Linked DNA regions of Drosophila melanogaster. Changing the gene in region 1 together with any one later gene gives a genetic interaction. Each region holds a gene or a part of one and is shown on either strand. Other genes may lie near its edges.

What was found.
Region 2: of Lrp4 (region 1) and Srpk79D, changing one suppresses a phenotype caused by changing the other (phenotypic suppression), as found in Drosophila melanogaster (one study listed by BioGRID).
Region 3: of Lrp4 (region 1) and GABA-B-R2, changing one suppresses a phenotype caused by changing the other (phenotypic suppression), as found in Drosophila melanogaster (one study listed by BioGRID).

What each region holds. Positions count from the first base shown.
Region 1 is NC_004354.4:15,907,903-15,915,135, reverse strand, and holds the start of Lrp4 (LDL receptor related protein 4), read right to left. Parts: upstream 4,267-7,233; 5' UTR 4,148-4,266; intron 3,770-4,147; exon of another isoform or gene 3,482-3,769; intron 3,229-3,481; 5' UTR 3,065-3,228; coding exon 3,013-3,064; intron 2,358-3,012; coding exon 1,042-2,357; intron 981-1,041; coding exon 859-980; intron 787-858; coding exon 595-786; intron 531-594; coding exon 1-530. Other genes in the region: CycD (cyclin D), read left to right, coding at 6,027-6,599, 6,818-7,039, 7,103-7,233.
Region 2 is NT_037436.4:22,271,858-22,278,606, reverse strand, and holds the start of Srpk79D (Serine-arginine protein kinase at 79D), read right to left. Parts: upstream 4,623-6,749; 5' UTR 4,050-4,622; coding exon 3,169-4,049; exon of another isoform or gene 3,116-3,168; intron 3,062-3,115; exon of another isoform or gene 2,891-3,061; intron 1,244-2,890; exon of another isoform or gene 556-1,243; coding exon of another isoform or gene 1-555. Other genes in the region: Csp (cysteine string protein), read right to left, coding at 6,216-6,238.
Region 3 is NT_033777.3:21,768,219-21,778,298, reverse strand, and holds GABA-B-R2 (metabotropic GABA-B receptor subtype 2), read left to right. Parts: upstream 1-2,458; 5' UTR 2,459-2,558; intron 2,559-2,951; 5' UTR 2,952-2,965; coding exon 2,966-3,214; intron 3,215-3,390; coding exon 3,391-3,872; intron 3,873-3,933; coding exon 3,934-4,114; intron 4,115-4,169; coding exon 4,170-4,388; intron 4,389-4,443; coding exon 4,444-4,739; intron 4,740-4,799; coding exon 4,800-5,163; intron 5,164-5,225; coding exon 5,226-5,336; intron 5,337-5,402; coding exon 5,403-5,639; intron 5,640-6,051; coding exon 6,052-6,397; intron 6,398-6,459; coding exon of another isoform or gene 6,460-6,462; coding exon 6,463-6,565; intron 6,566-6,622; coding exon 6,623-7,089; intron 7,090-7,150; coding exon 7,151-7,770; 3' UTR 7,771-7,966; downstream 7,967-10,080. Other genes in the region: Polr1H (RNA polymerase I subunit H), read left to right, coding at 533-650, 702-921, 986-1,010; CG6800 (uncharacterized protein), read right to left, coding at 1,086-1,257, 1,310-1,460, 1,523-1,907, 1,961-2,161; Burs (bursicon), read right to left, coding at 8,105-8,371, 8,430-8,554, 8,619-8,748.

The DNA.
Region 1 (7,233 bases):
ACGCCTCGCCCGGATGCACCACAATGGCACGTGGCTTGTCCAGATCGTAGGATGCGATGACGGTGCGCAGGTTTCCCTGGAAATTGGAAACCTCCACACGTCTCGTGCCCGAATCCGTCCAAAATAGCAGGTCGTGTATCCAATCGACTGCAATGCCACCCGGCGACTCCAGACCCCATTTGATGACGTCTCGAACTCGCGTTCCATTCATATACACCATCTTGATGACATCGGTGGACACGTCGGACCAAAACATCAGGCCCTTGCGATGGTGGAAGTCCAATGCGATCGCATTGTGAAGTCCCTTAACAATCGCCGAGTATCGGTTATTACTCAACGTCACCCGTCGTATGTCCCATCGGTTGGCCACCAGCAGGGTCATCGCACCACCCAGCGCTTTACAGGATCTGAGATCTGGACGAAGTATGTAGCCCGTTTCGCAGGAGCACTTAAAGGAACCCATAGTGTTGTGACATTTTTGCGAGCAAACCGGACTGGTCAGGTACTGGCATTCATCTATATCCGTGCAGCTAAACAATCGTGGCATCACTTTAATATCATACGAAATACCCGGTAAACAAATCGTCTACTTACTTGACTTTGTTTTTGTCCATGACATATCCAAGTCGACAGGCACACTCGTTCGATCCTGCAGTGGTTTCAATGCAGAGTTGCTCGCAAGGACTCGGTTCCGAGCACTTTCGTTCCTTGGGACAGTCGGCCTCGTCCTCGCCGGCGGGGCATTCGTTGTGGCCATCGCAAATGTGCTTCTGATGGACACATATCCTGAAAAATACAATCGGGAATTGGTAATTGGATTGCTTGTGATATGAGGACATCATGAGCAATTCAACTTACTTAAGATTTGTTAGGTTTTGTTTGGTTGGGCATAAAAATTGTCCCAGGTCGCATTGTAGGTGGCACTCAACCTCATCCTCTCCAGCAGCGCAGTCTGGATAGCCATCGCAGAGCCAAGTTTTCTGATTTGACAACAGAAAACTCAATGAGGTAAAGAAGTTAAGGAGACTCCAGTGGTCATACCAAAATGCAGCGCCCATTGTTGCAGGTAAACTCATCGGATCCGCAGGTCAGGGGATGCTCCGAGCCGAGACTACCGCAGTCGTTCTCGTCTTCTCCGCCGTCGCAATCCTGCTCCTTGTCACACTTCCAACGTTTGGGAATACAGGTGCCATCGGCACACTTGTATTCATTCGAGGTACATAGTGATGGCTTCTGGGGGCAATTCTCCTCGTCACTCCAGTCGCCGCAGTCGTTGTCGCCATCGCAGCGGAAACGATTGAGAATGCACTGGCCACTGGGACCACCTGCTCCACCCAAACCGCCGCGGCACTTGAACTCGCCCTCCGGACAGCTGTTTATGACCGCCGCGCACTTGAGCTCATCCGAGTTGTCATTGCAATCGTGCTCACCATCGCAACGAAAGGCCAGGGAGATGCAATAGCCATCGTTGCAGGTGAAGTGCTCATCCGTGCAGGTGGTGCGATTGCAGTGGGTCTCGTCGGAGAAGTCCTTGCAATCGTTCTCGCCATCGCATACCCAGGTTCGTGGAATACAGAATCCGTTGAGACACTCGAACTGATCATCTGTACAATTCGTCCTGGCTCCGCAGTGCGTCTCATCCGAGTAGTCACCGCAGTCATCATCTCCATCGCAGAGCCAATACTTGCTAATGCATCGAAAGGTTCGCGGGCACATCACATGTATCCCGGTCTTCTCGCAATCCCTTTGCAAATTCGGCACTGCATCCTCCTCGGGATTGCAGTTCTCGTCGGATTCATTGGAGTTCTGGCAATTGGAGTATGTCTCACCCGGTTGACTGGGATCGTCCTGCACCAGAACGGCCAGATTGACTCTAAATGGCTTCTGTTTGTTACTCGGACCACCTATAAAACCATCTCGACCACGTGAACTGATTCGATCAGTTTCGCGAATGCCGGCTATTTCGGTTCTACCCCTCTGGGCGCCAATGTTCCGGAACTTGGGAGTATCGTTTGAATTTGTGCCACCGGATATTCTAGTCTTGGATGGCACAGACGATTCCATCGTATGCAATCTTCCCTCTCCACTATGATGCACCTCCTGGCTATCCTCGTTATTCTGCTGATACGGCGGATAGTTGGAGACGGGAAAGAGTTTCTCGCCGAACTTGCTCAGCTCCTCCGACAGCTGATCCTCCCGCGACTCGTTGCCCGCCTCTAAATGTCCGATTCTGGCATCCGAGTGCAGCTGCTTGTGCTTATTCCAATCCCAACGACCCAGTGCGTTTGTCGGGTGAATTCCATAGTGGGGCGCGTTACGTTTCACAGCAGTTTTTGTCAAGTCGCCGAGACCGAGACCTAGTCAAAGGATTTAAATCGATACCATTTAACTTCTAATTAGCTCAAAATGCAGCAAAGGCTTTTGCCTTATCATACAAGTTCAGTCGTGTTAAGTTGAATTGAATGTTAACTACAAGTAGTTAAAGGAAAACCCCCCTATTTCTCATTCAAAGCAGATAGCAAAAGGCACGTTTTGCTATTGTTCCCACGCCACTGCAATGTTCTTGGAAAATACAACACTTTTCATAGGAAAGGAGCATTGAATGCAATGCTTCTGATTTGATACATACAAAGGTCATGTCTTGAGTTAAAAGGTTTTCCAATAGTTCAAAAACAGCTTTACAAAAACATGCATACATATGTACATACATACATATGTACATAGTCATGGACACGTTTTGTATGCAAGCAATATCCTTAAATAAAAAAGTTTCATTCAATTCGATGCATGTTCTTTGATGCCTTGCACATACATATTATAGATTGCATGTTCCTGGAAATTCGTATTACAATTAAGCCCTCTTGAGCAGGGAATTTTCTCAATTGGCTAGTTTTCGTGTGCAAGTTTTCATTGAGCAAAAAGTGCTGTTGGTCTGAGCGCATCGTGGGCGTTAACAGAGAGATACCCTTCATCTCCCCCCAGGACAAACTGTGTTGCGAGGACAATACTTACAGAGCCACACGAAGCATACCAATGGCCAAAAGGGAAAGGCTGTCAAATACATGTCCAGACATGTACACAAACTCGCCCACTCATAGGCACGTAACGTAGTAGCGCTGCGAGCTTTACTGCTTTTGCTTCCGAAGCATTTGCTGCTCTGCTAAGCGGATGCTGCTGCTGCTGCTGCTGCTGCTGTGCTGTTGCTTTCTGCTAACTGCTGTTCCGATTCTGTTAAGAGAAAGAGAGGAAGGTAGAGAGAAGGAGGTTTTCGTATTGAGCGCTTGCGTATAACATATTTTGCTACCAAGGCGGATCTAGAGTTTTATATATATATTTCTTTTTTTGAGGGGGGGCGGGGCGTAACTTTTAAAATAATGAAATTCACTCAATGATTTTTTGTCTCTAGGTTTTGGACAATATAAAGTTAATGCAAAGTTTTGGGCTTGGGGGAGGGGGGTTACTATGCGCAAAACCCGCCCACCTGATGTATATGTTGTGTATATGTTACACTTAAGCACACTCGTTCTTTGCGTAGGTGTCACTCAATAGATTTTACTCTATTCATCTTATTTGTAAGCACTTGGTTACTTCTGGTCTTTGTTATTTACTTATTGTGTCACTGGGTTTTTTATGATTTACATAAATGTTTATTGTAAGTTAATAAATTTAAATGCCTGGCTTGTACGTCCTCAACATTTTTCACATTACGCTGTCTCACTAAACAGAAGGTTTATTGTGACTTTGTAGGTCCAGGACCGACTCCGTGAATGGATCAAATATCATGCGGCACGGCATTCATGGCACTACTTCATTCAATGTATATCCTATTATAAAGTTGCGTGGGCTTGGCACTGCGTTTGGCATTTCCAGAATGTGGTATAAAGGTGTTTATAACGTCCTGCGAAGTCCCCTCGCAAATGAATGCGATATTTGGGACTTTGTTGGCATTTATGTATGTATGTCATGAGCACCACACACGCGAACATATGCATATTAAACACAGTATTATTAAACAAAAAGAACCTCCTGAAACTTTGACACTTTTCGATTCCAATTAGCAAGTGGCGGGCGAGAACAATTGAATCAGCTAATTGTTCCACACACATTTGTGTGGGTAATTTACGTGAATGAAAAATTATTTTCGTACAGCACGTCTCTTGTCTTCTTCGGGAATATAACGAATATAAAATTTCAGGGGATTACAGCATCCCTCTGACGGAAAGCGAAGTCGGCGGACGCGAGTGTTCCACTCAACTCTCGTGTGCTGTTTCAAAGTTTTCTCTGAATCCTTAAGCTTTTTCTGGGAAGCGAGCTTTTGTCTGTGTGCCGAGAGTGAGGGTAAATTAATTTGCAACAACTAAGTTAGCAAAATGCGAACCCAATTAAGGATTGTATCATTGAAAGCATTCTCCACGCTGCAGTTTTTCCTAAAAAACAACAAAAAACTGCAGCACCGAAATTAGGACAATGGACATGGAAGTCCATTTTAATCTCGATGTGTACATATATCGGTACATCATTTCTCGGAAGGGATCCACAGGTTACTTTTGTTTATCATTAACCTGGCATTCCTAAGTCGCGAAAGCTTTTTACCCTTTTATCAATATCTTATTAATTATTAAACAAAGCAGCAAAGATTATATCTTTTTTTTACAATTGCTTTTAGAATTTTTTTAGTGAAATTATTTTAGGTTTCTTACATGTCTTACTGTTTGTCATCTAAAACTGTTTAAGTACAACCCTAAAGAAAATAACAGCAGTTCAATGCTTTTTGTAAGCGGTACAGGATCTTTAAGTGCAGCATTCATTTATTTACGACTCTTTCGAACAACCTGCCATTTAATCAACAGGTTCCGGCCATTTAAACGGAATTTAATAAGGGTGTTTTGATCACGATTCAACCTAGTAGGGTGATGCCAGTGAGTTTTGCATTACTGACCATTTTGTCGTGGACCACGATCGTTAAATGTATGACATGCCGAAAGATCGACTGTCAGTACCATCCTTACATGAATGCAGGGTGGCAACGCCCTAGCATATTTTAGTATTTTTGATTTTGCTGGAGTAATTGGAACACTTGAGTGATGTGAAATTCACATCAAGAGTAAGTTCGTAAGATCGTATAACAAAAAGCTTATTTAAGAAAAAAAGTAGTGCAATTAGAAGAACTTTGTTTTTATTATAAGGGTAAGACCCTTTTATAGTCCATCAAACCCATTGATGGATTATAAGTTTTTAATGTTCTAATAACAACCCTAAGTGAAACATATTTCACAAGCAACAAGTTGGAAACGCAATGAGGAGGTTCCCCTTTTCAACGTATTTCGCTTGCCTTTCATTGCAAAGGATAGTACTATACTAATAACCGATGAAGATCGATATGTTTTACTGATCGCAGTGAGCAAGAGATATAACTCCGATGACGGCATGCTGAACTAGTTTTTTTCTGCCATAAGGTGTAACTATCTGGTTCACATAAATGCTTTGTCCACGCCGGTTAAGTGGCAAACGTGTGCAACTTCGAGTATACTTTTTTAATAGTTAATTTACATTACTCCATGAAGTGCTGTGCCGTTTGTATATAACCAGAATTCCGAGAATAGGCGTAAGTGAAAACTTTTGTTCTCGAGCTGATCGTACATAGCCATGCATGTACATGTACATAAGTACATAGTGTGAAATGAACGAGTTATTTCTGAGCAGGTCGAAAAAATATGTAAATAATGTAATGTGCATATGAATAAGTCAAGGTATTAGGGTTATATGCTATACTCTAGTGCTCCCACAGGACTAAACACATATGCCCGCAGTGTGCCCATACTTGAGCAAATACTTGAATTAAATGTGAAAAGAAGGTTGCAACATACATATGTATGTATGTACTTATGTACGATCATTTCCTATTGTACGCAGTGTTCCCATATCGGAGTTACCCAAAGTTCCTGATAAATCGGCACACATAAATGGCTTGAGAGTGCGGCGATCCATAGAATCCATAGCTTTAAACGGAACGTATGGCCGATATAATGGATCTTTTATGCTCGGAAATCATAGTCTACGAATCAGATCCATCATTGTATCGTTTGAACAAACGACAGCAGCAAATGTCCTCACCGGCGATCATTCGGGATCAATCATCGATATGTTCATCCTTGGGGGACGCGGAATCCGATTCCCATCCGGATGCCCAGAACAATGCCGTAGTGTGCAATATGAAGGAGCTGGTGTATATATACGCGTCCGTGGACTCGGCTGCGAAAAATCCAGAACAATTGGAGCCGCCTCCGCCACCTCCACCACCGCCGCCACCACCACCGACAGCGACCCAATCAATCCAAAGTTATCCGCGTTACATCAGCCAGGAGCCACCGACGTCACATTGCCAACGACTCGACGAACGCCTGACCACAACAGCCGATCCACCCGCAACCGACAACGTGAACACTGCCATCGGGGATCCCACATTGTATTCGGATCGGTGTCTGGAGAATTTCCTCAAGGTCGAGGAGAAGCACCACAAAATTCCCGACACGTACTTTAGCATCCAGAAGGATATTACGCCACCGATGCGCAAAATTGTCGCCGAATGGATGATGGAAGTGAGTAATTAAACGAAATGTAGATACAGCATCCAAATCATATCAAGCTAGCCGACTGTGATATACGCATTATTTATAATCTGTTAGAAAATATTACCAAATAGATGGAAGTTTCCAAGAACTTCATTAATTAGTGTTTGTTTTAGTAGTCCTTATCGCACACCCATTACAATATTTTGACTACCCTTTTCGTTCATTAATTGAATACATGTTCACAGGTGTGTGCCGAGGAAAATTGCCAGGAAGAGGTCGTATTACTGGCATTAAATTACATGGATCGATTTCTTTCGAGCAAATCAGTACGCAAGACCCAGCTACAAATTTTGGCCGCAGCTTGCCTCTTACTGGCTTCAAAGCTCCGTGAACCCAGCTGTCGTGCTCTTTCGGTGGATCTACTCGTTGTTTACACGGACAACAGCATCTACAAGGATGATTTGATTGTAAGTACCTTTCTCGTAATACAATACCTTTCGGTGAACATGCGGTTTCATTTCATTCCCAAGAAATGGGAGCTGTATGTGCTAAGTCGCTTGGGCTGGGACCTCTCATCTGTGACTCCCTTGGACTTCCTTGAGCTTCTGATGATGCGCCTGCCGATAGGCAGCAAAAACTTTCCGGACATAAACATTGGCAA
Region 2 (6,749 bases), on another chromosome or scaffold:
CTCAAAGGGTAGAGCAGCGTGACGATGGTGCTTTGGTCGCTTAGACTGATGGCGCAAGGCAATAAGGATCGGCCCGGCGGACACGCAGTTGCGCTTCTTTGTAAACCGCTTGCGGCGCTTCTTCTCCTCAACCTCTAGCAGAGCCTCCGTCGCGGCTTCTTGGGCAGCTCGCTTCTCTTGCTCGGAGACGAAGTTGAAGTCGCAGCTCAGCTCTTTTGCCACGTCCGGAGTGGGGTTCAGCGGCCGCTCAACTGCGTATCCACAGCTCCACAGCCGCAGCAGGTGCATCAGGAAGAGGAAGAGCATTAACAGGCTGCCCTGCAGCACACCCATAAAAATCGGATCCTGGCCGAGAGTACCCAGGATGTGCCGGCTTAGAAGATGCAGCCTGCCGGCTAGTGATAGCAGCATGTGTAGGCGGTTCATGTAGCCAAGATAGAGATCCAACCAGTGGTCCAGCAGGGTCACTCGCCAATCGATGCTGAACGTGGCATTGGCCTGCATGGGGCAGGTGGCCTCTTCCAAGTCGGATGCGGTCGAGCCAAAGTCATCCATTTCTGATTCGATTCACTGCTCGATTCGACAATTGGATTTCCGATTAGACCTTCGCGAATTCATGGCAACTGGGCGCAGTAACAGGGGATGGCTGTGGGCGTGCGTGTAGGGGGTGGCGACCTTGACTTTCGTAGACCCCCACTTGCATCACGGACACCGCCGAACGAGTTTGGTCGAACACAAACACCACGCTGCACACACTCTCCTTACATAACAGTGGCCCGAGCGGGGTAAATAAATAAAATATATCGCACGGCGGAAAATCTGAAATATGAAAAGTATCTGTATCTGTATCTGCGCGAGTATCTTTCCTCGCTCGTCCGATTCGTTCAGTTGCGTCCGCGAGAATGTCGGAATGGCTTTTCGCTTTTGTTTTTGCCGCCTCTTCCTGAGCGGCCAAGGCGCAGCCGTTTCCAACTCGCGAGTATTTCTGTTCTGCTTTTTTGTTTCTTTTTTTTTTTTTGTCACAACTAAGTTTAGTCTTCGCCCGCTCACAGTCCGGCAGGGGGTGAGGTGTGTGGATCACCTAGAACCCATGCCCGCCGATAGTTTTCCTTAGAGTGATACACTGCGAGAACACTTCCTTACAAAGCAGTTAGGTCGCAGTCTTTGGCCAACAGATACCTTCTACTTTACAGGATCGTAATTTAGTGGCTTCGTAAATAACTAAATAAAAACTGAAAGACAGGTGTATTCGTATATAAATATTTTTTTACTGAGTATGAAATGGTTGCTTTGTGGGCAATTCTGATGAGAAATACTTATTCAAAAAAGTTGGATATTTTGTAAATGAATAATTTTATGCGCCGTGTATTTTGCTGGCGTCATTATCCAATGTACTTCATCAAGTCGATGTCGTGGCGCTGCTCGTTGTTCGCTGCCTTTGCCGGTCATGGACTGCACTACACCAGGAAAGAGTCCACCAAATGAGCACACACTCATGCGGGGCCATGCCCGTCAACATCATCGTCATCATCGAGTGCTTCGAGATTTCTTAGGCATCTTGCCAAATTTTCCCTCGCCCGTGCAGAGGGGTGTTCGACAGGCAGGATTTCGAATACCTCGAATTCCAAAAGGTTTCGAAACCACTTCGAAAGGTAGTTTCGAGCGATTAGGTGCGATTGAAAAATTCCTCGCAATGCAACTGCAGTTCCGTCCGCCGCCTGCACAATATGCAAATGTGTGAGTTCGTATTGGGACTAACCGGCCTTATTGATTTTGCAGCCCCGTTCCCAACTTGAGTCAGCCGTTGATCCTTATGGAGCCATGGCGATTTCTTTAGAAGGAAAAGCTTGCTGACATCTTGAGTCACCCTATTTCTGACACACGAACGCGCTCTACTCGGCGTACATAACAACACCACCACCAAACCCCCCCCCCCCCCGCACAACACAATAAAATTATTATTTATAGACGCCGAAAGAAGCGAATGAAAACAATAAGTCGGCTAGAAAATCAGTGCGAATACAGAGCAGCCAGAGGCAGTAAAACGTCATCGTTTTGCTCGATTGCAGTGAGTTTGTGTTATTGCGGGGATGCGCTGGGGGTTGGAGGTTGGTGATTGGGTTGGGGGTGCTCATTGGTTAGCCACTGGCGTCACGTGGTGCCTACTTGCGGTTAGGGCAATTTAAAAACGTAAACAAACCGAGCGGACTGAATGGAAGAACTCATGCGGGGGGATCGATGTAGGATTATGGGACGCAGGAGGTAAAGTTTGCTTGGTACCACTGTCGAAAAAACTGGACCACATAAGTAAGTATGTAGTGTGTGGAATCACATCCCATTCGGGATAAGCACACTGTGTGGCGAAGGGTATCGAACTAATGGGTTGCGTCAACAATGAGGCCCACTGTGCCCGCACAGTGGGAACGCGAATAGTGAGGCCATCCCCGAACGGCTCACATATTGGAGCAGCTCGTTACGGTTCGATAAATTTATTTCCTGCCTGTGAGAGACACGTGGAATACACGCGGCGTATACTTTATGTTCATATTTTATCCGCATGAGAGTGATGGGAAAGAAAACTGGAAAAAAGCTTACTTTACTAAGTCGAAGCTGGTATGCCCTTTAATATTATTTCATTAATTGTCAATTTATATTTTTATTTACATTACAGGCTTATACTGTGTCACTCAGAAATGGAACCTAATACCATTTTGTCAATACAAATTAAATGCATTTGGTCGAGTTACTTCGTTACTCAGTTGAGAGATTGAGTTGAGATATCTTAACAGAAAAGCGTTAAAGAGACGTCGCTTTCCAATGAGCAGTATTAGTTAACGTTTCTAGTAGTCCGTCATGAACACGTCTTGAAATAAACGTGTGGTCGAACTTTATACAAAATTACGGACGGACGGACACGCCCAGCTCTATTTGTTAAAAGATCCTGATCTTCTGATCATGTCTCAGTGTCAGTTCATGTCAAGAACATTTTTTTTGAAGATGAAGTGTTCAAGTGATCATGAAGTGATCGAAGGAAGTTTATCTTATAATATTGGCAAATATGGTATTTGTAGCCGAAAATAGAAATATATACTAAATTCTTATATTAATTTTATAGCACAATAAAAATGTTTTACCAAATAGGGACAACGATATCGATGAAGTACTTACAGACTGACGAATGGGCCGCGCAGTGCCGGCATATCCCGCCGTCGGTTGAGCGGCGGCGACAGCGACAGCGAGAGGAAGTCCTGCTGGGCCTTGTCCTCGTCGACGATGCTGGTCGGGGTGCTGTAGATGCGCGTAGTTGGCAGATAGCCAATCTGCTGCAGAAAGTCGTCGCGGTAGGAGAGCTTGGTGGTGGACTGAGAGGAGGTCAGCGGCAGGGACAGCGGGGATCCATAGAGCGGAGCCAGTGGCAGGGCCGCTGTCATCGAGGCCAGCGACAGAGGCTGCTGGTAGAGTCCTCCTGCACCGCTGCCAGATCCCGGTCCCGATCCCACACCGGAACCTGATCCCGCAGCTGTGCCGTTCCCATGGTGGTGTAGGTGGAGGTGGTGCGGCGTGGTGGCCGCAGGCTGAGTACCGTGAAAATGCGGATAGGGAATGCCGTGGGTGTAGGCTGGAGCGCGCGACAAGTACGGCGTATTGATGATCTTGTCGTCGAAGCTGCGACGGAAACTAAAGCCCTTCAGTGAGTTGCTGTAGTTTCGGTGAGAAAGCGGCGAGCTGCCCAGGTCAATGCTGGCCGCCGGGCCCAGGATCCCGGCAGTTAGACCGCATCCTGAGGAGGCGGTAACGCCGCTGGCCGTCGCCGTGGCGCTACCCAGCATACTCAGCGCAGGTGAGGTGCGCAGCTGAGGGCTGCCGCCCACTCCTCCGCCTGCACCGGAGGCCGTGGTGGTCGAGGTGGAGAGTGGCGGCGAGATGGCACTCAAAGTGGAGATGCCGCTGTCACTACTACATATGCCGGCCGGCAGTGACGTGTGGGTGGGCGAGATGAGGTGTGGGTGGTGGTGTTTGCCATTTGCGGCACCGATGAGGCCGGCCATGCCGCTACTGGGCAGTACGGGAGCCAGGATGCCTCCCGGGATGAGTTTCCTGATCTGCGCGGGGCTGGTCCTCGCCCTGTCCTAATGAATGCTGGGAAGCTAGAAGCAGCTTCCTCGCGTCTTTGTCCTCATCGTTGGCCTGCGCCCTTTGTTCCTGGTGAGGACTTCGTATATCATTCCTTGTGCGTAGGAAAATCAATGAAGGGACGCGCTTAAAACATGCATTTTAAGCAGCGCTTTTCTCGCTTTGTAACCCAAATTGCGCATGAAAAAAGTAAGGCGAAAATCCACACACGCACGCACACACTGCCACGAACTGGTTCGCGATAGAAGAGGGTTTTTCCACGGTCTGCCCTCAATTGGGCCTATTGGATTCCCTTTCGCCTTTCTTCGATGCTTTTGGCCAGGTACGTGCCCGTAGTCTAGTTAATAGCGGAATTGATTTATCCTCGACAAATAAAGCGAACACATCACATTTTCCACTTTGTGTTTTTGGCAGAAGCAGCAGCACGGAAAAGTCTTCTTTGTCCGCACTTGGCTCGAACTCTCCGACGGTCTGCCCTCCGGGTTCTGAAGCGGAAAACTCTGCGGCGAAGTTCAGCGATTCCGGGGAGCGGGCAAAGCGCATGTGCCGGCTGTGGCCCGTTACTGTCCCAAAACAAAACAAAGCCCGAGCGGAGAGAGTGAAAGCTAACTGCAAGCAGCTGGCGTCGTCGAAAGTTCCATCCCCGAAAATCAGTTTGTTTACCATCCTGGCAGAGCTTTTCATGGGCAAAGCCGACTAGGCAATACCCTTTGTAAAACAAAGCGGTGAGTTTGTATAATAAATTTATTTCGGCTTCTTCGTGTTAGACCAGAATACAATTGAAATTTGGAAACAATTGTTAAGTTTAAATTTAGTTTACTTAGTATTTTTGCTTTGACTTGTACGAACAATAAATACACACGCAAGACCGTAAAATGTAATTATTAATAATTGAATTTTATATATGTATGCGTGTTTATACTATAGATGAGCCGGCGACTCTCGGATCCCGGCCCTAGACCCAGGCGCCCAAGGACTTTTATCCTGGCCCGGAGCTGATCGGCAATAATTGATGTCAATGATTTAGAATGGGATACTACAATATAAAAGTTAATTACTGCTGGACTAATCGCATTCATTTACATTTAAAAGCGGGTTAACAATCAAACAAAAATTAATTAGATTCAATTCAATTTTGAAACAATTTGGAATACATAAATATGTGCAATACTTTCGGGGGTTACAATTCAACTTTTGATTACTCGTATTTAATTGTTTTATATATAGAGGGGATTATTAATATCTGTTATATAATTTATATTTGCGTTAATTGGATCGCCCTTCAAAGTGTCCTCTTCTTCGTCCTCCTCTGTTTAACTGTGTGATGCTTAATTGTTTAACTCGTATTTACATTTGCATTAGAATCGGATCGGAGCAATCTGCTGGGCGCGTCGCTCGACAATTCATCCTTTTTACATAAGTAGTTCTGGCTTTAACAATTTAGTGCAAAATAACAGAAACAATCGGTGAAGAGGAGATCTCGAGAACAAATTAGCTAGACTAAGCGACGACACAAATGCCACAAACTAGATACACATATCATATACATATATATAATTACAGTGCCTCTCTTCGCGACTGAATCCCAACTCACGGGCTAAGCCGCAAGGGATCCGATCCCCAAGCAAATGTCTAGACAAACTTCCGATATACAATTTCATCAACACCGAATGGTGTTTTGGTGATTAGCATGACTGGATAGGTGGAGATGGTGGCTTCGCGGCTTGGCTATCGATTCGAGTTGTATAGTGGTACAGCTGCAAGGCTAGATGCATGGCTTGAACAATGGAATTGGTGAATCGATTGCCCGAAGTGGACCAAAATCAACCTGACTGACCGGAGGGCGGCCACGAAGTTCGATAGTTTAAAATTAGAGCTAAGTGCTACGGCTTAAAATAAATACATTGGTTTCTATGTTTACTCGCTTCAACATATCGCGCATTTTAAAAACAACACTAATAATTATGAAATAAATCTGGTTTTCTCTTCTGTTACGATTTAGGGGCTTGTGTTTTCTGTGTCTGTATCTGAATGTGTGGTGTACGCAAGCACCCGGGTCTTGACTCGCTCGCAGCACTTGACTAATATTTTTGATTAACCATATCTAGAGTGAAGAGAGGGGGAGAGAGAAGTAGACAGTGATAAGTGAAAAGAAATCAAAATGTACGCGTTGCATAAGAAACGATAAAACTAAAATCCGTCAAACTTAAGCTACATTCTTTGAATATGTCTTGGATGGAAATTAAAATTTTCATTTCATTTAATTTGCGAAAGCTTGGAAAACAATCTTGAAAGGAGGTCTTTAAAATGGGGGACTTGAGTACGGCTGGCGCAGACCTAAGGAACGAAAGGCTGAGTCAATCAATCTATTCATTGGTCATCCTGCAGCTCGGGCAGTGTGTGGTAATGTAATTCAGCATGCAGATCTAAGTAAATGGATCCCATATTCGCGTGGACATGTACAGAAAGTGACTAAAAAATACCTTGCCGGATACACGAGCTTACTGCTAAGGGGGTGTTGATCTGATCGCTGGACGGGGTATGTCGACTGGTGACTGAATGCCTTCGCCACCTATCCAGCGACCGAAGGAAACAATATTTGTTCGATATATGCA
Region 3 (10,080 bases), on another chromosome or scaffold:
GTTCCTAGATGCTTAGTTGTAGTTAGGAACCTCTAGTGCGTAGTTAATGTTCTGCCTGTGATAGTTTTAGGTAGTTTAATTGGAACACAGTACACATCCGACTTGCATTTCAGCTAACTAGACCGTAAGATCGCCTTATTGATGTAATAGTTTTGTAAACTTTAATACAAAGTAAAGATAAAAGTAAAAATCTTACTGTTTTCATAACTTGATATTGGCTATTAAAATCTAACTGTTTTCATTACGTAATATTGGCTATGAATATCAAATACTATTTTGAAAGTTTATTTTGAATAATTGATTTTGATTAAGAACCGGTAATCGAAACGGGTAAACGGCTCTACCCGTTTCATCAAGGCTTTCAACCAGACTTATTCTAGTTTTCCACCCTTACGTATTTAGTATATGAATCAAGTATATTTTTAATACCGTGTGGTATATTTCAAACGGTTCAGTTACGCTCATACTGAAATCCGAAATAGCACGTGCGGTTTTTGTATTTTGATTTTGATTTTGGGTGATATATACTGGCATGGATATTTTTTCCAATTGTCCGGGCTTTTGCCCCTCCTGCGGCTCCATTCTGCCCGAGCTTCAAGTCAAGGGCAATGTGATTTGCTACAACTGCAAGAAGGAGTTTCAGCCAGATGGTAAATCCAGAAATTACAACTTTGTTTAATTTATTTAACACTTAAAAATAGTTTACAGCGGCGAGAAGTCCGAGTTTACCATACACTTCAACACCTACGATCCCAGCAAGGTGTTCAACAGGACGAAAAGGGAGTCGGAATCGGACGCGGATGGCCCCGTTGTGGAGAGGAAGTGTCCCAAGTGCAACCACGACAAGATGTCCTATGCCACCCTGCAGCTTCGATCGGCGGACGAAGGCCAGACGGTGTTCTTTACCTGCCTTAAGTGCAAGTAGGTGTCCTGATAAACATATTCCTTCACTTCCACAACTAATCACACACATTCTACCTTGCAGATTCAAAGAATCCGAAAACTCTTAGTTGCTAGCAATGTCCGTGTAAATAGTCCTAGATTAATGAAAATAATCATGCTCGACGGCCTGAGAAATATAGAATTTACCAATTATAATACCTAACCGGTGTCAAACTTGAAGCAGAACCCACCTCGCTGGCCTTGAGTCGGTTTTTGGGATTGTAGACCACCAGATTCGAGACCAGATTGATTTCCACCGCATGTGTGCAGCTGGGAAACAAGTTGTCCCAGTGAATGCCCACGGAGTTGGGAAACCTACGTCAAGAATATTACGGATTAAGTAATCATAGACGGTAAGAATGCCTACCGTATCTTGCTGTAATCCGGCAGAGAAGTCAGCTCTGGCCACTGATTCAGACGTGGGCTGCCCAGAGTGCGAATGATGATGGCTAATTGCTCGATGTCGGTGGTTCCCGCAAACAGGGGCACTCCGCGTAGCATCTCCGCCACAACACAACCTGGATAGCAATAATGTCAGCCATAAGGATATATGTAAACCCATCAAAGAGTCATGGCTAACCTGCCGCCCACATATCCACTCCGGTTCCATACTTCTGGCTGCCAAATAGAATCTCTGGCGCTCGATACCACCGGGTTGAGACCTGAGGCGAATAAAGGCGCGACTCGTCTTCAGGGAAGTACAGACGGGCCAGTCCGAAATCGGCAATCTTAAGCATATCTGTATCGCTGATAAGCAGATTGGCGGGTTTAATATCCCGGTGCATGAGACCCGCTTCATGCAGATATGCAATCCCCTTGAACATTTGGTGTGCAAACTTACGCACCTGCTGGCGGCTCAGGGGATTAACCTCGCTCTTGAGGCGGTTGTACAGAGTGTCCGGCTGGTATTCCAGCACCAAGGAGAGACCAGTTAGGTCAGGATATATATCAATGATGTCCAGAATCTACAATTAGTTACATAATTAACAAATGGAAAATAGATATATGGTATACCTACATATTCAGACTTGCAAAGCTGCAGGGTCTTGATTTCCCTCAAAGTATTTAGGGCTATGTTTCCGAACTTGTTCTTAAGGGCCACCTTCTTGATGGCCACCTCCTTGTTGCGCTGCAGATCGATGGCCTTAAACACGCAGCCATGGACGCCTTCGCCGATTTTCTCAAGCATTTTATAGCGGCTGGGCGCATAGTCCTCCATTATGGTTACTCACAATTTTCAATTTGGTAATTTTCCGAGCAGTTATCTACTTCGTTTTTCGACCCCAGTAGTCCATGGCAACGGGCACAACAATTGCCGGAGTACCAGCTGATGGGACCACCTGTTGCAGGATGTTTACAAGCGCAGTGGGTTTATGGTAATTACGGGGGTTGGAAAGCCTAGGCCAAGGCGGAGCAGTGACAGCTTTCGGTTTAAGGACATGCGCACTTCCTGCCTCGAATTCCTCCTGTCAGACAAATGTCAAGTCAGGGGGATACATAATTTTTCGGACCCTCGCACTGCAAAAGTTCTTCGTTGGCTGAGATTTGATGTAAAATAAGTGTTTCAAATGGCATCGGTAGTGAAATAAAAGCCAGTTCTGGGACTAAGCAAGCTGGTAGGTTCCTAAAAACATGTACACATAAGATTTAAGAGGATGCAACACCTGGAAGATACTCCTTCGCGTTAACGAGCATACTAAATAATGCACGAATCCTTTAGATCATTAAATTGCTTTATAATTACTAAACGTGCCAGCATTGCTGCAGCAATTTGAAGCAATTTTGCTGGCCTGGACTGGCCTTAGCCTTGCTCCACCTGTCCTGTAAAATTGCATGCGAGTGCCAGCAAACACAGGTAGAACGTAGAAAATAATACACACCCACTGGGCGCAGCCTTGCCTCGGCAGCCTTGGCTCACCCGAAACCAACCACTGCCATTCACCACCCACAACTTGGCTCCAAGTTCACGTCCTCGATATGCGCTATTCACATTTAGAATCGTTTTACAGCCCACGCGGTCAACATGTTCCGGCCAAGTTGGTTTCCATTCGCCAGCCTGCTGTTCCTGCTCCTTTGGAGCACCGCCTGTGGCAGGACAGCCAAGAGATCGGACGTCTACATAGCGGGATTCTTCCCGTACGGGGATGGCGTGGAAAACTCCTACACCGGTCGGGGCGTTATGCCCAGTGTAAAGCTCGCCTTGGGTCACGTTAATGAGCATGGAAAGATACTGGCCAACTACAGGCTGCACATGTGGTGGAACGACACTCAGGTGAGTTAGGGTTTAGCTTGAAGATTTCATTAAGTGAATCTCTGATGATGGACTTGTGGTTTTTAAAGTTCAATTAGGTATTTTTTTTAATGTTCATTGGTTCATATTGTAATATCACACCTTTACCTATGCATATTTCCATATATTCTGGAATGTAATTTTGGTTTCCTTTCCAGTGCAATGCTGCTGTGGGCGTAAAGTCCTTCTTCGATATGATGCATTCGGGTCCCAATAAAGTGATGCTCTTCGGCGCTGCGTGCACCCATGTGACCGATCCCATAGCCAAGGCCAGCAAGCACTGGCACCTCACCCAGCTCAGCTACGCGGACACCCATCCCATGTTCACCAAGGATGCGTTTCCGAATTTCTTTCGCGTGGTACCCTCGGAGAATGCCTTTAATGCGCCGCGACTGGCCTTGCTGAAGGAGTTCAATTGGACCAGAGTGGGCACTGTCTACCAGAATGAGCCACGCTATTCGCTGCCCCACAATCACATGGTGGCTGACCTGGATGCCATGGAGGTCGAGGTGGTGGAAACGCAGAGCTTCGTCAACGATGTGGCTGAATCATTGAAGAAACTGCGCGAGAAGGACGTGAGGATCATTCTGGGCAACTTTAACGAGCACTTTGCACGCAAGGCATTCTGTGAGGCTTATAAGTGAGTTGGATATACTAACTTAAGTCTCAATTTAAAATTATTGCAATAAACTCCCTTCCAGATTGGATATGTATGGCAGAGCCTATCAATGGCTGATCATGGCTACCTATTCCACGGATTGGTGGAATGTCACGCAGGACAGCGAGTGCAGTGTGGAGGAGATCGCTACAGCCTTGGAAGGTGCCATTCTAGTGGATCTTTTGCCCTTGTCCACCAGTGGTGACATCACAGTGGCTGGCATTGTTAGTACCAGTAAAGTCTATTAAAATTCTTGTAATAAATTTCATATTTTACTAGACTGCTGATGAGTATCTTGTGGAGTACGACAGACTGCGAGGCACTGAATATTCCCGCTTTCATGGCTATACCTACGATGGTATCTGGGCAGCTGCCCTGGCCATTCAGTATGTGGCCGAAAAGCGAGAGGATCTGCTAACACATTTTGATTATCGCGTGAAGGACTGGGAGAGTGTCTTCCTTGAGGCTCTACGTAATACATCCTTCGAGGGTGTGACGGTAGATAGATAAACAATCCAGTTTTTGCAGTTAAAACATATTTTACATTCTCAAGGGACCCGTGCGTTTCTACAACAACGAGCGCAAGGCCAACATCCTGATCAATCAGTTTCAGCTGGGACAAATGGAAAAGATCGGGGAATACCACTCACAGAAGTCACACTTGGATTTAAGCTTGGGAAAACCAGTCAAATGGGTGGGGAAAACTCCTCCCAAGGATCGCACTTTGATCTACATCGAGCACAGTCAGGTCAATCCAACCATATATATTGTATCGGCTAGTGCTTCGGTCATTGGAGTGATTATTGCCACAGTTTTTCTGGCCTTTAACATTAAGTATCGCAATCAAAGGTGAGCTTAACAATGCTATATTAAACAATTTCGTTTAATAAAATATTGATGTTTTTATAGATACATCAAGATGTCCAGTCCCCATTTGAACAATCTGATCATTGTGGGCTGTATGATGACCTATTTGAGCATCATTTTCCTGGGTCTCGATACCACATTAAGTAGTGTGGCAGCTTTTCCCTATATCTGCACAGCTCGAGCCTGGATCTTGATGGCTGGATTCAGTCTCAGTTTTGGAGCCATGTTCTCGAAGACGTGGCGGGTGCATTCGATATTCACCGATCTGAAGCTCAATAAGAAGGTGATCAAGGACTATCAATTGTTTATGGTTGTGGGCGTGCTTTTGGCCATTGATATAGCCATTATAACCACCTGGCAGATTGCCGATCCCTTTTACCGCGAAACTAAACAGTTGGAACCCTTGGTGAGTGCATTGATAGAACATATTTGAAGTGAAAAATCTAAAATGATTATTATTAACTACAGCATCACGAGAATATTGATGATGTCTTGGTGATCCCCGAAAACGAGTACTGCCAGTCTGAGCACATGACCATATTCGTTAGCATTATTTATGCCTACAAGGGACTGTTGTTGGTGAGTATATAATAAACATTAATTTGTAAGATATCATTATAATAAAGCAATAATTTTTTTCAATAGGTTTTTGGCGCCTTTTTGGCCTGGGAAACTCGACATGTTTCTATACCGGCTCTGAACGATTCCAAGCATATTGGTTTCTCCGTTTATAACGTGTTCATCACTTGTCTGGCCGGAGCGGCTATATCCCTGGTGCTATCGGATCGAAAGGATTTAGTTTTTGTCTTACTCTCGTTTTTTATCATTTTTTGTACGACAGCCACTTTGTGTTTGGTGTTCGTACCGAAAGTAAGACTGGTAGTAAGGAAGTTTTGTAGTTTTTGTAGCTGTTATATGTTACATATAATAATCGTGTAATATGAATGTTGTTTGTCGGCGGTAATAGGCCGATCAGTTGTGGTTAGAGCTTCTTAACTGATCGTACTTTACCGCCAGCTGAGCTGATCTTTCGTCTAGCGTTGATACACCTTGATACAGAAACAACATGTACTCGAAAACAGATCTTAAAATGCTATATAACACTACAGACTAACTATAAACTTGAACTATATAGAACCCACTAAGAGCAGCAGCAAGGTTGTAGGCAAATCCCACTTCCTTGCTGTTGGAATATCTTTAACTATCCTATATTACTGTCCGTAGAGTTGATCCTTCCTAGATGTTGACCGCGTAGTATAATCTTTGGTTAATATTCATGCGAATCGTTTTGCAGTTGGTGGAGCTGAAGCGGAATCCCCAGGGCGTGGTGGACAAACGCGTTAGGGCCACGTTGAGACCCATGTCCAAAAACGGACGCCGGGATTCCTCGGTGTGCGAACTGGAGCAACGATTGCGAGATGTAAAGAACACAAACTGCCGATTCCGAAAGGCGCTGATGGAGAAGGAGAACGAGCTGCAGGCCTTAATCCGCAAGCTGGGACCCGAGGCACGCAAATGGATCGATGGGGTGACCTGCACAGGTGGCTCCAACGTCGGTAGCGAACTGGAGCCCATACTGAACGATGACATTGTTAGGCTCTCAGCTCCACCGGTGCGTCGAGAGATGCCCAGCACCACAGGTGAGTGGCTAAGGAGGGGGATTTCGTAGATATGTTCATGCATTGCAACCCGTTTGTCATAGAAGTTACCGAGATGACGTCCGTGGATAGTGTGACCTCGACTCATGTGGAGATGGATAACTCCTTTGTGTCGGTGCAGTCTACAGTGATGGCGCCATCGCTTCCTCCGTAAGTTCTTAAATTTTGGTCTTAAATACACTCTAATCTATGGATATTCTCCAACAGCAAAAAGAAAAAGCAATCGATTGTAGAGCACCACTCGCATGCCCCTGCTCCAACTATGATGCAGCCCATCCAGCAGCAACTGCAGCAGCACTTACAGCAACATCAGCAGATGCAGCAGCAGCACCTGCAGCAGCAGCAACACCAGCAGATGCAACAGCAACAGCAGCAGCAGCAGCATCATCATCGCCATCTGGAGAAGAGAAACTCGGTGTCCGCTCAGACCGATGATAATATAGGCAGCATCACCAGTACGGCGGGCAAGCGGAGCGGAGGAGACTGCTCCAGCATGCGGGAGAGGCGTCAATCGACCGCCTCCAGGCACTACGACAGTGGCAGCCAGACGCCCACCGCCCGGCCAAAGTACAGCAGCTCGCACCGGAACTCCTCCACCAACATCTCCACATCGCAATCGGAGTTGAGCAACATGTGTCCACACTCAAAGCCCAGTACTCCGGCTGTGATTAAGAGTAAGTTTTCTGCGCGTCTCTTATAATACTATAATACTATCGATTTTCTAATCGAAAATAGCTCCCACTGCCTCCGACCATCGCCGCACCAGCATGGGCTCCGCTCTGAAGTCCAATTTCGTGGTTTCACAGAGTGACCTCTGGGACACGCACACGCTGTCGCACGCCAAGCAGCGCCAGTCGCCGCGGAACTACGCCAGTCCGCAGCGCTGTGCGGAACATCATGGCGGCCACGGGATGACCTATGACCCGAACACCACCTCGCCCATCCAGCGGTCCGTCTCCGAGAAGAACCGCAACAAACATCGGCCAAAACCGCAAAAGGGCACCGTTTGCCAGAGCGAGACGGACAGCGAACGGGAACGAGATCCGCCGCCCAACAGTCAGCCGTGCGTCCAGCCGCGTAAGGTCAGCCGGAGCTCTAACATCCAGCACGCCGCCCACCACCACAGTTCGCCCAATGTGGCGCCCGATAAGCAGCGGAGCAGGCAGCGCGGCAAGCAGGATAGCAGCATCTACGGCGCCAGCAGCGAGACGGAACTGCTCGAGGGCGAGACGGCAATTTTGCCCATCTTCCGGAAACTCCTCACCGAGAAGAGTCCCAACTATCGGGGCCGCAGTGCCGTGGGCCAGAGCTGTCCGAATATATCCATCAAATGCGATATCGTCGAGTACTTGTAGGCGGCGCGAGTCATATGCATTATGCCGTAGTTAAACTCCTATTGTTAGATCCAGTTGCAGTGTAAAGATTATCTTTGTTTTCTTTGGAGTTACGCATCTACATACATACCCTGTGAAGCAGGACACACACCATTTAGTGAACTAGTAGCAATGACATGAGATAGTTGGGAAATAAATTACAATTTAAAATAATCATATATCTGCTGATGTTTCCCTTTCACTGGCATGAGCTTTCAGAGGCACATTTTTCACTGTGTACAAGCAGAAACGGCAACTCTAATTTATTTTAATGAGCAAATGGGCATGGGTATGAGTGCTAAACTGATGGGGGAATCTATTGCAGAGCAATGCGCCGGAAGTGATTGTTGAGTGGACCCTCGTCCGAATAGCCGGCAATTTCCTGTGGTATGATGCCAGACTCCTCAATGGAAGTGCATGGCCGACACATGCACTCCAATGGCGCCTTGGTCAGGACCTTCTTGAATTTACGCTCGCCGGGCTTCACTTTGGGACAGAATAGCGAGACGGCTGCCTCCCGCTCACCAGACTCCTGGCAGCACATGCAGGAACGCTCCATTTGCCAGATCTTACTGCCCGAAACCTAAAGTCATCAGATTATATCAAATTATAATTTATATTTCAAGTATATCAACACCCACCTGGATATAACTGGCACAGCGACCCACGCAGGCGAACGAGGGAATCGGCTTGGGCACACATCCAGGATACTGGAGCACATGGATGACGGGCGTCACCTGACAATCGTCGCCAAGATGCGTAATATCTGGATGGTAAATGGAATCCATTAGAGCGAATAATATGATATTATCAAATGCCTTATCAAATACCATTATCCGTGGCGGCCACAGAGCTATCCGGCTGTGCCGTGCAGAGTTTCAGAATGCTGACCAGGACGCAGTAGAGCAGGATCAGGACGAAGACCTTGTTGTTCTCGTGGCGGAGCAGGTGGCGCAGCATCTCGTCGGCCCGACTGCGAGTGTCCTTTCACGTGGAATGGAAAACGCCACTTGCAGCCGCCGGGCTTTTATAGACCAACTTGGCCAGCGGATGCCGCTCTAATGGCCGCTCGACAGCGTAAATTATGGCCTAATAAAGCAAGGGCCGTCCAAACCTTTTTGCCTAGTAATTGCGTACACGAAAAGGGCATTTCTCCCGCGGCGCACGACCACGGCAATCTCTTTATTTCCCTCACAACTTATTGGCTAATCAGGGCCAGGCCAACATGCTGCCCACTGCTAAAAGCAGAACCACCACCAAGGAAGTGGCTCCCAGGCAGGAGCTACCATTTCTGTCCGCCAGATATTTTACTAAGCCTTCCAAATGGGTTTCCGCCCAGTTAAGGTTTTTTTCCACAGTGACCAGGGACTTGGAGAGCAGCTCTTCCGATTCACCGAAGAACTGGTGATTGCTGTAGTAGAATTCCTTGAGCAACTGCTGTTGCTCCCGGGTGGTGAAGTACTCCGCCATGTCATTGATCACCTCGGCCGTGTCCCGACCAACTCTGGAAGCTGAAAAGCGACAAGGTTAAGTGTTCAATAAACAATCAAACCACACTCTCAGATGATCAAATTATGAAAAATAACTCACTTATACGCTAATTCCATAATGTTTTCGGTAATCATTTCGAAAATTGCCTGAACCAAGTCAGGATTCTCCTCGTACATACGGGCGATACCAATTTTCTTTTGTTCAACACTTTCCGTACCAGAGATGATCATCTTGTGGTAATGGGTTTCGTAGTCTCTCGTGCAGCTGATTGCAGCCCAGAGCATATTCTTTTCGCTAGTGCGATTTTCCAAATAATACTGACCCCACAACATGGTGTATGAGTTGTAATCGGCACCACTGGCGGCACAATAGAACGTTTCCCGGTAATCCGGCGATGGTACTTCATGACCTGTTACGAACTGAACGTTAACCTTTGGCCTGCAATTGCTGGCCTGGTATCTGCACAGCCATTTGATCAGTTTGTTGCGATTGGCCACATCCAGCGGAGTGTAGTATATACGAACATAATAACAATAATAATAACAATAATAATAATAATATTAATAATAATTATAATATGAATCATAATAATAAGTCGACTAATAAGTAAACTTAGGACCACCCTAATTCCTTAGGGTCACCCTAGTAGATCTTTAGATACACCCTAATACTAAATATGCGAATTCAGCATGTACGCCTTTAGGGGTCGCACTCGACTCCCATTGGTTATCGAGTATGAACTACATACTTACATATTGCAGAATTTGCTAGTGTCAGCACTTGGCTGTCACAAGAGATCTG